2 linked regions of the Drosophila melanogaster genome follow. The protein of the gene in region 2 interacts with the protein of the main gene of each other region in a pairwise test. Each region holds a gene or a part of one and is shown on either strand. Other genes may lie near its edges.

Region 1 (6,031 bases), 320 kb from region 2:
TGCTGCCGCTATTAACACAGCATTTCGCTGCTCTCCAATTTTAATTTCAGGCCAAAGGAATGAAGCCGGAACACCTTTCAACCCCGTGGGCCATTGTTAGTGCTCCGTGGCTAGGGATAGATGGCTACTGTATGGCCACTTGCTGCACGGCCATGAAGCTACTCCTCCCACACGATTTGCTTCACGCTCATTTAAATGCCAACGCACCGCAGGGAGGAGAGAGCAGGGCACTTCACTTCGGCGGCTCGGCTGGCTTATTTACATATTTTCTAAATGAATATGGGCCCCGCGAGTTTGCAACCCCGACCGGCGGTGGCAAAGCCGAGAAGCGCATTCAGTTGCAACGGCCGCGGCAGCTGGCTTTCCCTGCACTGGATTTCCACTTCCTCCTGGTCGAAGCAGCCGCAGCAGCAGCAGCAATAACAATCAGGAACAGCAGCAGCAGCAGCAACAAGAAGCCGTCAAACGCCGCAACTAATTGATATAATAGTTAAAAGAACAAACTAACGAGAAAGAGGTTGTCGTCGTCGAACGCGGCGCGTTGGAGAAGTGCAAAACCTTTCCAATTTGAAAATAGTTTTCCTGCTATGTGTGCTCGTTCCCACAAGCGCGGCAATACCAACTCATACCAACCCACGGCTCCAACACCACCAGATGCAGCAACAACTGCATCAACAGCAACATCGGCTCAGAACAAGCACAAGCAGCGAAAGCCTGCACTTCGCCAAGCGGTGATTGGGAAAAGGGGCTGCAGCTGGAGTTGGAGTTGCAGCCAGAGTAGAAGCTGGAGCTGGAGCTGGAGAAGATGACAATGCAGCGATTAGAGCAATGCAGAACTTGAACTCTACGACGGCGGCAGCTGGAAAAATGTTTGCCCCGATCCCCGGGACACCGACTCAGTCACTCAGTCCGTCCCAATGCGCGGCATTTCCGTTCGGAAAAAAAAGAGGATGCTGTCGAGAAGGAAGGCCCTCGATCGATTCGATGCTGATGCATTCTGCAGGGGTGGGGGGAACGTAGTGATCATGTTTGTAGCATCTAAATAAAGTACCTGTAATGGTTTTCATTAAGTAATGCGTCGTCTTTGGCTTCTTGGTTTATGAACACGGCAAATATTTAATGTGAGATAAAAAATGTTCAATATTCAGATCATTGACCTAAACAACAGAAGAACTTAAGGATGTCAACAATATATAAACTTCACAAATACTGCTTTCTTTGACGTTGTAATATAAATAAAACGTTTTTATATTAAATTAAAAATCTTCCTTAAATTCATCTTCCATCTTAACATAGTTCGCTGCTGTTAACATCGATTAGGCTGCTATTCGCAGAGATTATGTTTTCCCTTTACAACACTGTATTTAAATTTAAATTATGAAATATCAGGCAATACTAAACAGTATGCTAAATATAAATATAAAACGAGATCACAGATATCTTCATAGGGGAACACTTTAAATTCAAAAAAATACGGGTCGTTTTAGAATAAACGCACCTTATTTGAAATTGGATCTTTCTTACTAACGATCAGTTAGTGGTGGAACGCCTTGCGCTTAACAGCACGCTGTTATTGAAACCCCACTTATTGGACTTTATTTACAAATTGAAATGTGATAAATAAATATACCAAAAACGATAATGATTTATGTTTTTAGGTATAATTTAACATCGAGGTCGAATAGAAATCATCGATGACCAAAATGGCCTAGGAAATATCGATATATCGCCGTAACCATGATGACTCCTGCAGCCCTGTTTCCGTCCCTTCTCTTCTTCGTTTCCGGTGAGTGCGTGTGCTCCGCGTTTTTTCGCTGAATTTGCCACTATATCGTATTTAATACTGTATTTGCAGGCAGACGATTTAAACGGCGAATCCACCATGGTGAAAGGAGTACGTACGCACAAGGGCAGTGAGGATTTTCCAATCCGTGGCTTCGAGCCATGTGAATTTGCGAATTTCCAGATGCCGGTTAGCTGCCACGATATCACAACTAATCCACCCATATTTGCAGACTCTGTACACTTACCCCGAGAACTTCCGGGCCTACAAGGCGCTCATCGCAGCCCAGTACTCCGGAGCCCAGGTGAAAGTGGCCGACAACTTCAAGTTCGGCGAGACCAACAAGTCGGCTGAGTTCCTCAAGAAGTTCCCCGGTGGCAAGGTGAGTCCGCTTTTTTTGTGGGTGTGGCTAGTGCCAGGTCATCAACACGATATGTGCCCGTAGGTGCCCGCCTTTGAGACCGCCGAAGGACAGTACTTGAGCGAGTCCAATGCCATCGCCTACCTGCTGGCCAACGAGCAGCTGCGCGGCGGAAAGTGCCCCTTCGTGCAGGCCCAGGTCCAGCAGTGGATCTCCTTCGCCGACAACGAGATTGTGCCTGCCTCCTGTGCCTGGGTCTTCCCCCTGCTGGGCATTCTGCCGCAGCAGAAGAACAGCACTGCCAAGCAAGAGGCCGAGGCTGTGCTGCAGCAGCTCAACCAGAAGCTGCAGGACGCCACCTTCCTGGCCGGCGAGAGGATCACATTGGCCGACATTGTGGTCTTCAGCAGTCTGCTCCACCTGTACGAGTACGTCCTGGAGCCCAGTGTGCGCAGTGCCTTCGGCAACGTGAACCGCTGGTTCGTCACCATCCTCAACCAGAAGCAGGTCCAGGCCGTCGTCAAGGACTACAAGCTGTGCGAGAAGGCCCTGGTCTTCGACCCCAAGAAGTACGCCGAGTTCCAGGCCAAGACCGGAGCCGCCAAGCCCCAGCAGCAGGCTCAGCAGCAGAAGCAGGAGAAGAAGCCCAAGGAAAAGAAGGAGGCGCCCAAGAAGGCTGCCGAGCCCGCCGAGGAGTTGGACGCCGCCGATGAGGCCCTGGCCGCCGAGCCCAAGTCCAAGGACCCCTTCGATGCGCTGCCCAAGGGCACCTTCAACTTCGATGACTTCAAGCGCGTGTACTCCAACGAGGACGAGGCCAAGTCCATTCCCTACTTCTTCGATAAGTTCGATGCCGAGAACTACTCGATCTGGTTTGGCGAGTACAAATACAACGAGGAGCTGTCCAAGGTGTTCATGTCGTGCAATCTCATCACCGGCATGTTCCAGCGTCTGGACAAGATGCGCAAGGCGGCCTTCGCCTCCGTTTGCCTGTTCGGCGAGGACGGCAACAGCACCATCTCCGGTATCTGGGTGTGGCGCGGACAGGATCTGGCCTTCACGCTCTCCCCCGACTGGCAGATCGACTACGAGGTCTACGACTGGAAGAAGCTCGACGCCAAGAGCGAGGAGACCAAGAAGCTGGTCACCCAGTACTTCTCCTGGTCCGGCACCGACAAGGACGGTCGCAAGTTCAACCAGGGCAAGATCTTCAAGTAATCATCTCTGCCTAGCCCAGCTCCGCTCAAAGCAGCAGCCGCCCTCATTTAGACCAACAACAACAACAGCAGCAGTAACAATAAAGTTTGAGATTTAAAATGCAGGAAGAGCACAATGCCCATTTCTTAAGTTCCAACTGATAAGTACACTAAAGATATCCAATATCTGTCGTGCTGCCTCCCACGTTTGGCGGAATCGTGTGTCTCGCCTCCTGCATTTTGTACTGGAGAATTTGTTTGTAACCGCCTAAGCATAACACAGCATGATATTGTCAACGGAACAGCCGCCTGCAGTCAGAAAATATTTATAAAAAATAAAAGGTTTTCTATTAATAACAGCACGGTTTTCTCTCACACGTGTGTGTATGTGTGTGTGTGGTTTATTTGGTTGTTGGTAAAGGTTAGGTCTGGCATTTATTAGTAATTAGAATTAAGCATATCGATTTGAATTTATGTTTGGGCAATTTTATTGGCTCCTTTTAACTTAATCCATCAATATCATCAATTATTGCTTACAATTACAAGGGTTCAAACAGCTTCGGCCACTACTATTGGTTTTAAAAGCAAACTGGAGCTCAGCGAGAGGAAATGCTAGAACGTTTGTGTATCGATGCACCGCCGCAATCTACTTCTTGATGACAATTGGTCCGACGTTGTCTCCAGTCTGCTTGTTGTGCTCGCCATGACTGCCATCGCAGTAGGGCCACTGCGAATAGAGGATTCAATTGAAAATTTTGTTCACAATATTTCAGAGGTTAGAATGCACTCACGTTCTTGGTCTTCCAGCAGCGACAGAAGGCCGCCTTCTCCGCAATATCCTCCACGTCGATCATGTCCACCACCTTGGGCTCGTTCTTGCGGATGTGGTTGTTGCAGCGTCCGCTGTTTTTGGCCGCGCAGCTGGCCCGTGCCGCCGGACAGTAGGCCAGGTAGGCGGTGTAGCCGAGTCCGGCCACCACCACGGTGGGTGGGATCAGGGCCAACCAATCCTTGACTGCAAACGAAACCAGGTTAATACGGAATGCAGTGCATTTTAAGCTTTATAACTAGATATTTTGGTCGATCAGCCGTAACCGGCACAAGGTCGTTCCCTACACACATATTGGGTTATAAACGCACCAAGATATGCGCATATATGTTTATAGGTATACCCATGTTGGTATGCCTGTATTATGCGTCTATCTAGTTGCCTATCTGCGAGACAAACTTGCTCCAATTATAAATTTCTTGGCGAGCTCAGCAGTTGTTGCATAATCGCTGCAACTTTTTTGCCTGGAAGTGCACACACTGCACTTCCAATTCCCGTTAGCAGCTCCGCAATATCACGCCACATTTGCACCTTAGTAGTCCATTTAGTTGGCCCCCCTAGATGCTGCGTCATTATCGTGGATTTGGGTTTATGTGGGGCGCCCTTTGAAGGCAAATCAAATTCCAATGGGCAAAACCACGCTCATTGCCCAAACTTACAGGAGAGCTTAAACCAGCCGCCGATGCTGTCGGGAACCGGCAGACTTGACAAGTAATTGGGCAGCGAGGACTTCACCAGATGTGATATGGGCTCCATTTCGAAACGCCTTTTTTATTTAACTGGCTATTAAATTCGGAAAACTTGTTTTTGTGTTGCTATCGGTTAGCGGTGCTAGCAAATCGATAAGCCAGTCCTATCGGTATCGCAGTGCTAGGGTCACACTGCATTTTCGACGATAGGCAGTATTACAGATTCGTGTGTAGTCATCGATAGCATTCTGTTTTGTTTACGAATTATTGATTGAAATCAATAAATTGCAGTTTAGAATGTCTGCCGGGGTACAAGAGCGCCTGCAACTGAGCCGCATGCCGCTGGACACGTGGTCGAAGCGGGAGCAGCTCATCCTGGCGTCGGCGGTCTCCTGCAGCGGCGACCAGAACTGGATCACGGTGAGCCGCACGCTGAAGACGATCTGCGGCAATGGCAGCAGTAACCGACCGGCGGACTGGTTCTCGCAGAAGAACTGTGCCATGCAGTACGGCAATCTGCTGGAGAGCGTGGAGGCCACCAAGCGCAAGAAGCGCAGCAGCGAAAGCAGTGCCGGCGTCTCCTCGCCGGCCACCGTGGAGACGCCCACAGAATTGCTGCTCCGTCGGCTCACGGAGGAGCGTCAGGCGGAGATCAAGGCGCAGATGCGTCAGGATCAGGAGACTTACCGACGCATCCAGCGGGAGATTGAGTCGCTGCAATCGGACGCGGTGACCGAGCAGGAGCTGCAGGACATGTGGCTGGAGATCGAGAAGGAGCAGGAGGCGCGCCGCATCGAGGAGATGAAGCTGGAGAATCGCATGCGGGAGCGCGAGCAGCGCAAGAAGGACCTGGCCAGCAACTGGCGAAACAGCAGTCTAGCCGTCAAGCGTTCCAACCAAGCTGCCGACACGACTTCCGTCGATATGGACGTGGAGGACATAAACACCAGTGGCAATGGCAAACAGCAGACGGGTCCTTCGCCTCTACTCACATCTCTCCTGAAATCGCCCACAGGCAATGCACCTGCAACGCCCACCCCAGGAGGAGCTGCACCAGCAGCCGGAGGAACTGGCAGCGTGGCCAGGGCTACGGCGCCAACCATCACCTCGCTGCTGACCAGCGGTCCAAGCTCAGCTGTTGCCAATCAGCCAGTCATCACCATGAAGAGCCCC
Region 2 (8,472 bases):
TGGGAAAATATCGAAGGATAGGCCAAACGCGGAGCAGCTCCACGACTGCTGGGATTCTGGGCGAAGTTAATTGAAGAAGACTTTGATAAGCCGGAGGAGATCGCAGGCACTCCTGGTCCTACTGCCTTCGTGACCGATTGCTGCGAATTGGACTTGGCCAGCGGCTGCTGCTGACGCTTGATCTTGTCATAGAGATCCTCGCACTCCTGGAACTCCTGGTGCAGCTTCCTGTCCAGTTCGCTGTAGTCAGGCAGACTCTTAAGATACTTGTTCATCATCTCAATCTCGGCATCGTAGAAGTTTGCATCCATTTTTGCGCTGTTTGTGGCTGCCGCGGATTTCTCCTCTAGCTCCTGCTGCTGTTGCAGCAACTTGTCCAAACTGATTTCGTTCGAGGTGGATGGAGGTGGAGCAGCAGTCACAGCAACAGGTCTACTGGCATTCTTAGGAGCTCGACATGGTACTGGCGGTGGTGGAGATGATGAAGGTGAACTACAGGAGGACAGCGATATACTAGAAGCCGGGCTGGAGGCAATGGTGGCCATTAACCGGGAAGGCAACGCTGCTCCAGAGGCACTGCTGATTGTTCCAGTTGCCGCGTTGTAAGCCAAAGGGTGATGTTTCCGCGGTAGTGGAGGAGTGGACTTTGGACTCGACGGCAGCAGAGGTGGACGACTCTTCCGGATTGCTAGTGGCGACGATATGGGAGAACGCACCGCACACTTGCTCTCCGGGATGCTGGATGATAGCACAGAGGCGAACTGCGGGGAGACCACCTGAAAGAACTGCTGGCCACTGGCCGGCGGCGGCGTAGGTTTCTGCATAGCTGGCTGGGATTCCTCTTTTGTTCTTAGGCTTGGCGATGGGGCTGCGGAGGAGGATACCGCTGAGGGCACTGTATTTGCTGGCTTGCCGGCATCTTCACTCATCTATAGGAAACAATCGCGCACTGCGAACCGTTTTGGGTTCTATGAATAAAAGATCCGATTTCAACTGAATCCGTTGATTCAGCTTGTTTTGCAATCAGTTTTCAATCAAAACCCGTTCATTCAGCCTTTATCGCGGTTTTGTGTGTTATGTGTGTGTGCGTTTATTTATGGTATTGTTATATCTTACACAATCAAACCATTGCACTTCCTTATTTTACAACCCATAACTATTCCCAAGTGTATTAACGTGTTCCTACCATCGAGGTAAATTCTATAAAACAGATTTCGAACAAAGCACAAGAGGAAGGAGACACCAAACACCAGACGAACTACAGACACCACAAGGCGATCACCAACACGACGACGACCAACCTGCAGATACTGCTCCGGTATCTTACTGTTCTTAGGCACAATGATCTTCTTGATGATGATAATCTTGTCGCCCTCGATCTTGGTGATAGTGATGGGAACGCCGGGCATAGGACGCTGTGGCTTGACGGGCACAGGTTGCTTGGGAGCGTTTCGAATTACTTGGGGTCCAGTAAGGATGCCACCGGGACTTGGTTTAGCAGCTGGAGGAGCAGGCTTGGGTTTTGGTTTCTGAGCAGGCACGTGTTCCTTGTGGTCGCTGCGCACAATGGAGAAGTGGTACAGTGGTTTATCGTCGTCTAGAATGCTCTTTTGCGGTACAGTTTTTTTCTCCACTCTACGCAGGACGACTCCCAGCATGGGCGATTCCTTGGGCTTGATGGTTATCGATCCACTGGGCGCTGTCACCCGCTTGAGGCTCACTCCAAGGTTAGTGCCCACTGGTGGCGGTGTCTTCGTTCGATGCACCATTTTTCCACTGGGTATCTCACGGTAACCATCGTCCATTCGCCGCCGACGACGATCCTCTTCAATCTGTTCTTGAACCCTTGGATCGGGATTAGTGTGCAGAGATGGTTCGGGTGCCACCAATGGCGATGGCCCAGGAAAGAGTGATGTCAGACTGCTCCGCCGCCGGTCCATGTTAGGCGCTGACACCGTCTTAGTGAGTGGAAATTTGGTAGGCTGTGGAGGTGCTGCCATAAGTGGTGGTTCCACACCGGTGGCACTCGTGGTGCTACCACGTCGACTGCCTGCCTTGCTAGGTTGTCTGGATGCCGATGCACTGGCCGAGTCCAAGCTGCTCATGCTGGCAGAACTCTGGAGGCGATCTGGAGCAGCGCTCCTTTCGCGATTACGATCTGGCGAAATGGAACGCTCTCGACTACGATTGTGGGAACGGGCATCCCGAGCAGCTCGCTGCATTCTCAGCAGCTCAATCGAGTCAGCTATGTGAGAGGTACTCTTCTTAGGCGGTGAGTCATCTTTGGAAGAGGCCTTCGGCTGCGAAACGTTAAGAAGGTGCATCTCCATGGCATCATCTATGTTGCAGGGTAGCGAAGCAATGCGTTCTCTTGGACCTGAATTGGTTGGAAGGGAACCCTTGGTTAGTTCCTCTTCCTCATCGTTGTCGTCGTCTTCATCATCCTCCTGCTCCTCCTCTGCCTGTTGCCTGATGCGCCGTTCCTCCTCTTCCTGTTGCCTGCGTTTCTCGCTCTCCATCACCCGCTGCAGCTGAGCCTGCACCTCGAGGGCAGCACGTGCTCTGGCCTTGGACTCGGCCTCGCGGGCCTGACGAAACTGTTCCTGGGCAATTGCTAGAGCTTCCGCCTCCGCCTGTGCTCGAGATCTGGCCTCCGCTTCTGCGGCTGCTGCTGCCCTAAGTGTGGCCAAATCCGTGGCCGTCATCTGCTTTATGCTCAGGCGGCGCTCAGTATTGAGGATCAACTCCACCTGGGTGCTACCGCCCTGCGGCTTTTGCGCCGCGAGGTCTGGACAGCCAAGGGCGATCAGTTCGCTAAGTTCGTTGGACATTCCAAGGGGTGTGGTGAACTTTTCGGTTGATTGTCAGCTTTCTTTCTGGATCCCAAGGGGAAAAATTACTCGATTATCTAATATTGCACTGGCGGCTCCCTCGAATTGCGTTGGGTTCGACTAGCTGGGCAAGACTCGCGAGGCTGCCAATGTTGGCCCCAAAGGAAACCTGCGCAACATCGGATTATTTCGTATTGGTTCTATTCGGATCAGATCGGATCGGAACAATCGATCGCACGCTCAATGTCAATGTCTCATTGGCATTTTGGCAAATGCCCGACGACTTGACTTACTAATTGTATCAATGGTCGCCGTTCGACCAAAGACTGCTTCTTTTTGGCGCCCATATACATCCGACATATATATGGGTACAAGCATGTATAGCACCCCCAATTTGTTTTGGTATATAGAGCAGAGACATATACAAATTACAAATCGTAAACAGCAATGAGCTCATTGATCGCGGCGCCGCCTCATCAAAAAGCAAACCCCCTACCCCTTTGCGATTCTAGCCAAAAGATCTGCACCTTGCCCTAAATCTATTGCGATGTGTGGAATATGTGTGAATATCCCTGGAGAGATCGTTTTAGCCTATGTGTGATATCTCGGTGGGGTTCATTGGGCATCTTTCCCTGCCATTCTGTGTTCGGTTCGAAATCTGTTTTTATTTTTAACAAATGGACGACGTTATACCTAGTACACAGTACGTGTGACGCTAGTGCCAGTACAGTGAAACCTCGATCAGCCATGCAAATTGAACTGACAGCTCTCATTTGGAAGATGCATCTCTGATCTCTGATAATCACATTCGACTGATTGGATTTTTTAATTCACTTTGAGTTTCCATTAATTTTCTGATCTTTGCTGAGCTCTGGCTTAGCTTTCACTGTACCGAAAGCACACACATTCGAGTTGGAAAATCTGAAGGGGAAAAGTTTTCCACCCCAGTTGACTTTTATTTTGGTTGGCATCATCATATGGCCAAAATTTAATCATGTACAAGTTTGTGTCTTGGATTTTTGCTATAAGTTTGTTGTGGCAACTAAATATAAATGCAAGCCTTACGAAAATAGCTTTCGAAAATTATAGAAAACGCCAGCTAAGCGGAAAGTGGAGGATGGAGGGCAGCGGAAGGAGACGCCGGAGCGGCGGAGATCAACATGATGATGATGTGGCAGCCTGATGAATAATCCCGCCGATCTGTAGCGCACATATAGATAGTTTGTATCTATGTGGCACACACACTAACGGACACACACGTGTGTGCTCCATTTGTTAGTTTTGAGTTTTTGTTTTGATTTGCTTGGCCGCTGCGTTGTCTTCTTCGCCTTCATCTCCGAGTACACAGAAAACATATTCACCATATTATCTAAGCACAATAGTAACTAAACTGTTTTTACTTGTTGACCCTTAAACTTTTGGAACATAGTTAACAAAGAAATATGGTTTGAAGATATATATCATTCCATAGTCCAAAATGTTTTTAAACTATCTTCATTTCTATCTGTGTATTCGATTGAGTGAATGTTGCACTAGTCTCCTCCATCCCCATACGCTATTTCTATTAAAAGTATCTTTCGCCTCGCTAATTGCAAACTTGGTGGAGAAGTGCAAAGTTCACTATCAGCGTTTTGGACGTTTCACAGCTGCTCATCAGGCTGGATGGTATCCCACTTGATATTATTCCGAATTATACACTCGCCACCATTGGCGGGGGGTCAATAAAACAGTTTGGCTATGGTATCTTGCATCGCGTTTTGTTTAAACAAATACAGTCCGATGAATATCGCGCACTTTTTTTTAACACTCAGTGTTTTGTTTGATGTTTTTTTCGCTTTCGACAATTTTGTTCTTGCCGCACTGCTACTGTTTTATTTTTAAAACACTTAAATGTTCTAAGTTTTGGGTTGTTTTTTGTTCTTGCGCTTGATTATGTCACGGTGCCCAGCAATTGTTCTACCTATCCTATCGTTCCGAAATGCGTTTCTATATTGCACATACGCTCCGTATGTACCTCTAATTATTGTTCTATTCGATTATTTGGTGTTTCTCAGCCAAATACAAAAAGAAAAGGAATATTCAAAGCACAAGAAACGCACACACACCACACACGCACACACACACATCGATAAACAAATTGCGCGAAAGGAGACGATCAATATAGAGATCGGGGGGATCTGACCGGATAGAGAGAGACAGCGAGTGTGCGGGGGATCCCCGTGGTACCCGTACCGTTACACGACGAAGACGAAGCGACGACAATATGTAGTTTATATGGTTTATATGGCAGCAGTGGCGGCGACACACAGCCAACAAACGTAGATTTCAATCTGTTTCGGTTTCCTCGAATTTGAAAATTCTCAGCCGAAAACTGGCCGCAGATGAGAAGAGCGCAGACTTTCGGCGGCGCGTGTATTTATAATTTTCCAATGGCCACGGAGCAAATGGCAAGTAGATGCTTTTCCGCCGGATGAAGCTGCGCGCGCATCTCCGAGAAAGAAGTATCAGCTGTGCGCCATGGGCCATAGGTAGTTTAGACGAACATGCGCACAGTGCGGAGAGGAATCCCCAAGGCGTCGCTCTCGGGAGCCCATAAACATGTGTGTATTTGGGGGCATGATATAGACAGGGAGAGTGAGTGGGCACCGTGTAAAATCGGTGTATATAGCGGCGGTCAAAGCAGTAGCATTGCCAATAAATCATGCCAAAATTTCCAGAAGACTTAACATTTGTGTTTGCAGAAATTCGAATAATATATGGACGACCATTTGACTTGAATCGACATGTGTACATATATCACATATACAGATTATAACTAACAATTTTAGTTTAAAACAACGAAGGGAATTTGTTAGGATTACAATTACTACTGTACATATTTTTTTCCACAATATTTTTGAAAAAAGGTTGTGTTCCTATAAAATTGTAGGACCGACAATGCATCACGAGAAAACGAAAGATATTCGCCGACAATCTGTGACTCGGAATGGGGACGACTCACTAGATAGTCGTCATTGTGGTCCACAAAGTACTCCTCGATGATCCAATTGTCGCCGGCGTACTTGTCCACAGGCATATCGCTGAGGGCCACAAGATCAAAGTGATTACGTTGCCGTTTTAGCAGCAGGCAGCGGGTAATGGCCACGCTCTCTCCGTCACCGGGTGAAGCATCCTCCTCCAGATATGTTTCCAGGCCACAGCCATTCGCCCCATTCCGGATGATGAGCTGCTGCTCCAACTGCTTAAAATACTGAATCTTGGCGGCCTGGGGACTAAACGATGACGCGGAGGGAATTCTATGCGAGTTACTCAGCCCACTTAATTGGCGGCGACATGGGCAACTGGCAATGCTGGCGAGGAGCAGTTCGCATCATCCGCAGCAGCAATAGCAATATCTCATCACATCTCAGAGCAGCAAAGAAAACTCTGGCCGCCGTCAACGAGTTAATGTCAAATGATCAATTGAACGAAAATAACTAGAACAGCGGGGAGTGTTGGGCACAGGGGTAGCTATAAAGAACCACCAACAGTGAATGAGAACTATAAAGTTCTCGTTTAATTGAGAGCTGTTTTTCATACAGCTAGATGCCACGAAGAACGCATAGAAATTGCTTAATTTGCACATGAATATTGCCAAGGTTTCGCTTAACTGCTCTATTTAAGTACCATTTTATTACTGATGAATACAGCTCAAACCGAGTTTCCGCTCTAAGCTTTTAAAAAATGATTATCTCTTAAAATTTTGATTATATTTAAAGTGGCTACTGTTTTTTTTCAAACCTACACTTGAATAACAAAACCAATAGTTATTTGTAATTATGTAACATCTAAGTTTCTGAATTTCGACACAGTTTAAAGGCCTTGCCCAACCAAGTTACTTTGTTTCAAGTACTATCTTATCAACTCATGCTGCTCACTCAAGTGCTCCGCCTCTTGAAGCCCTGAAGCATTTATTTCCATATTCAGTTACACTGATTACAGTGACTTTCCCATGTAATCACTGTACCAGAAGACCAAGAACCAGAGCAATGTGACACATCTAATGACAAATTTAGCTCAACTCAACGCCGCATAGATAAGAAAGTAGAGAGGGATCGAGTGCAGCGGCGAACGATCATGATAGCGCGCTGATCACTTCACCGATCCACTCGAGAATAGGGTGTACTGCAAGACGCACACAAAAGTAAGGAACGATAGGTTAGTCAAAAGGAGGAGAAGGGGAAGGGGAGGTGGGTGGGTTCGATTGATAGCACAACATACATGCTTACTAGATAATCGCTGTCGTGATCGACAAAGTACTCAACGACTATCCAATCATCCGTGTACGGCATAAAACGCAGTGAACAGCTGGACAGGATCAGATCGCGACAGTGATCCACGACCGGTGGCGCCGGCAGATCACGCATCTTGATGTAGCACGGGATCTGGGAGCTCTCGAAGTGATCGGCCACCTGCTGGGACTTCTCAAGATACCGCTTGAAGAACAGCATGATGGGGGAGGAGTCGATGGAAGCGATCTTCTAGCACTGATCAGACGGACGGCACAGATTTTGGCAATGGCAGCACAAGGATTGGAAAACGCAGGTGGTGGTTAAATGAGATCGGTCCGGTGTGTTCGTATTATCTATCTGTCCGCCTAGTTTGTTCTTTTACCATTTTGTTTTGCTTTTAGCTTTCGTTTTCAGTTTGTGAATTTTCTTTGGGGTTTCCTTTTTTTTTCGTTGCCCTGCCTACAATTTTCACTTGTTTGCTACTTGTGGTGTGTATAAAATAAAAAGTTTTTACCTTAGCCTGCGACTGGCGGTTGTTGCGTCCGCTGTCGCGTTCGTCCTTGGCGCGATCACGGTGCCGCCGGCGGGAGCTCGAATGGGACGTCTCGTCCCTGTAGCGGTATTTGTGCTGCCGTCGACTGGCGGCGGGCGACTTGCGGTGCGAACGCTTCGAACGCTCCTTGCGTCGGCGGGTTGAGATGCTGTCATCGAAACTGCAAAAAGAAAGGTGTCCGGTTAGTTCGATCTCTTGAGGTATTACCTAACCAACCACCCGGCGACAGCAGATGAATGGCCGTCCTTGGAGCAACGCCCAGCGGCGTGGACAACATGGAAAGCTACTTAGCTACCCAGCCAGCCAGCCACTCAGATTCTCAGCTACTTAGCGAGTAAGCCGCTCCACGCTCGCCTTGCCGCCGGATTCTTAAGCCAGGCAGCCGGCACCTAGTGCGAGACGTGTGTTGGCGAATCGGTTTTGCGTTACCAATCAAGTTAATCAACTCGGCCGGATGGCTACCTCAGCTGGTACTGTTACTGTTGGCTATCTGGTTGGCAGCGGCCCACCTCTACCGTCGGCCAAATGCCTTTGAGAGTACTTCATGGTTCGAGGAATGACACAATGTGAGGCAATCGCCAGTTTCTGAGTGAACCCAGCGACATAGCACCCTAGACTCGGCGATCGAGCCCAGAAACTGTGTCAATAACATCGGTAGCTTGGCGGGCAGAGCTCATGTTCATGCTCATGTTACATCAACTCACCACACCCACCCCAAGAAAACAAGAAGCCAAGGGGCCCAGACAGATGACGAGCTGCACAAGTGCGGGTGGGCAGCGATCTTGGCATGAATCAGCTGATTGCCGAGAGATAACTG

Evidence for each region. Proteins that work in one complex are often made in the same cells at the same time.
Region 1: the proteins of Doa (region 2) and eEF1gamma interact in a two-hybrid assay, tested with the Drosophila melanogaster proteins (one study listed by BioGRID).

What each region holds. Positions count from the first base shown.
Region 1 is NT_033777.3:29,218,415-29,224,445, forward strand, and holds eEF1gamma (eukaryotic translation elongation factor 1 gamma), read left to right. Parts: upstream 1-1,757; 5' UTR 1,758-1,786; exon of another isoform or gene 1,787-1,790; intron 1,791-1,849; exon of another isoform or gene 1,850-1,855; 5' UTR 1,856-1,882; coding exon 1,883-1,894; intron 1,895-2,015; coding exon 2,016-2,165; intron 2,166-2,228; coding exon 2,229-3,362; 3' UTR 3,363-3,695; downstream 3,696-6,031. Other genes in the region: Cisd2 (CDGSH iron sulfur domain 2), read right to left, coding at 3,987-4,067, 4,132-4,355, 4,829-4,925; Brd8 (bromodomain containing 8), read left to right, coding at 5,156-6,031. UniProt on the Drosophila melanogaster protein: Microtubule binding protein involved in regulation of microtubule-based transport. Probably plays a role in anchoring the EF-1 complex to other cellular components.
Region 2 is NT_033777.3:28,900,167-28,908,638, reverse strand, and holds the start of Doa (darkener of apricot), read right to left. Parts: upstream 5,162-8,472; 5' UTR 5,064-5,161; intron 3,001-5,063; exon of another isoform or gene 2,877-3,000; 5' UTR 2,832-2,876; coding exon 1,302-2,831; intron 950-1,301; exon of another isoform or gene 930-949; coding exon 1-929. UniProt on the Drosophila melanogaster protein: Dual specificity kinase involved in the negative regulation of microtubule-based transport through phsophorylation of the microtuble-binding protein eEF1gamma.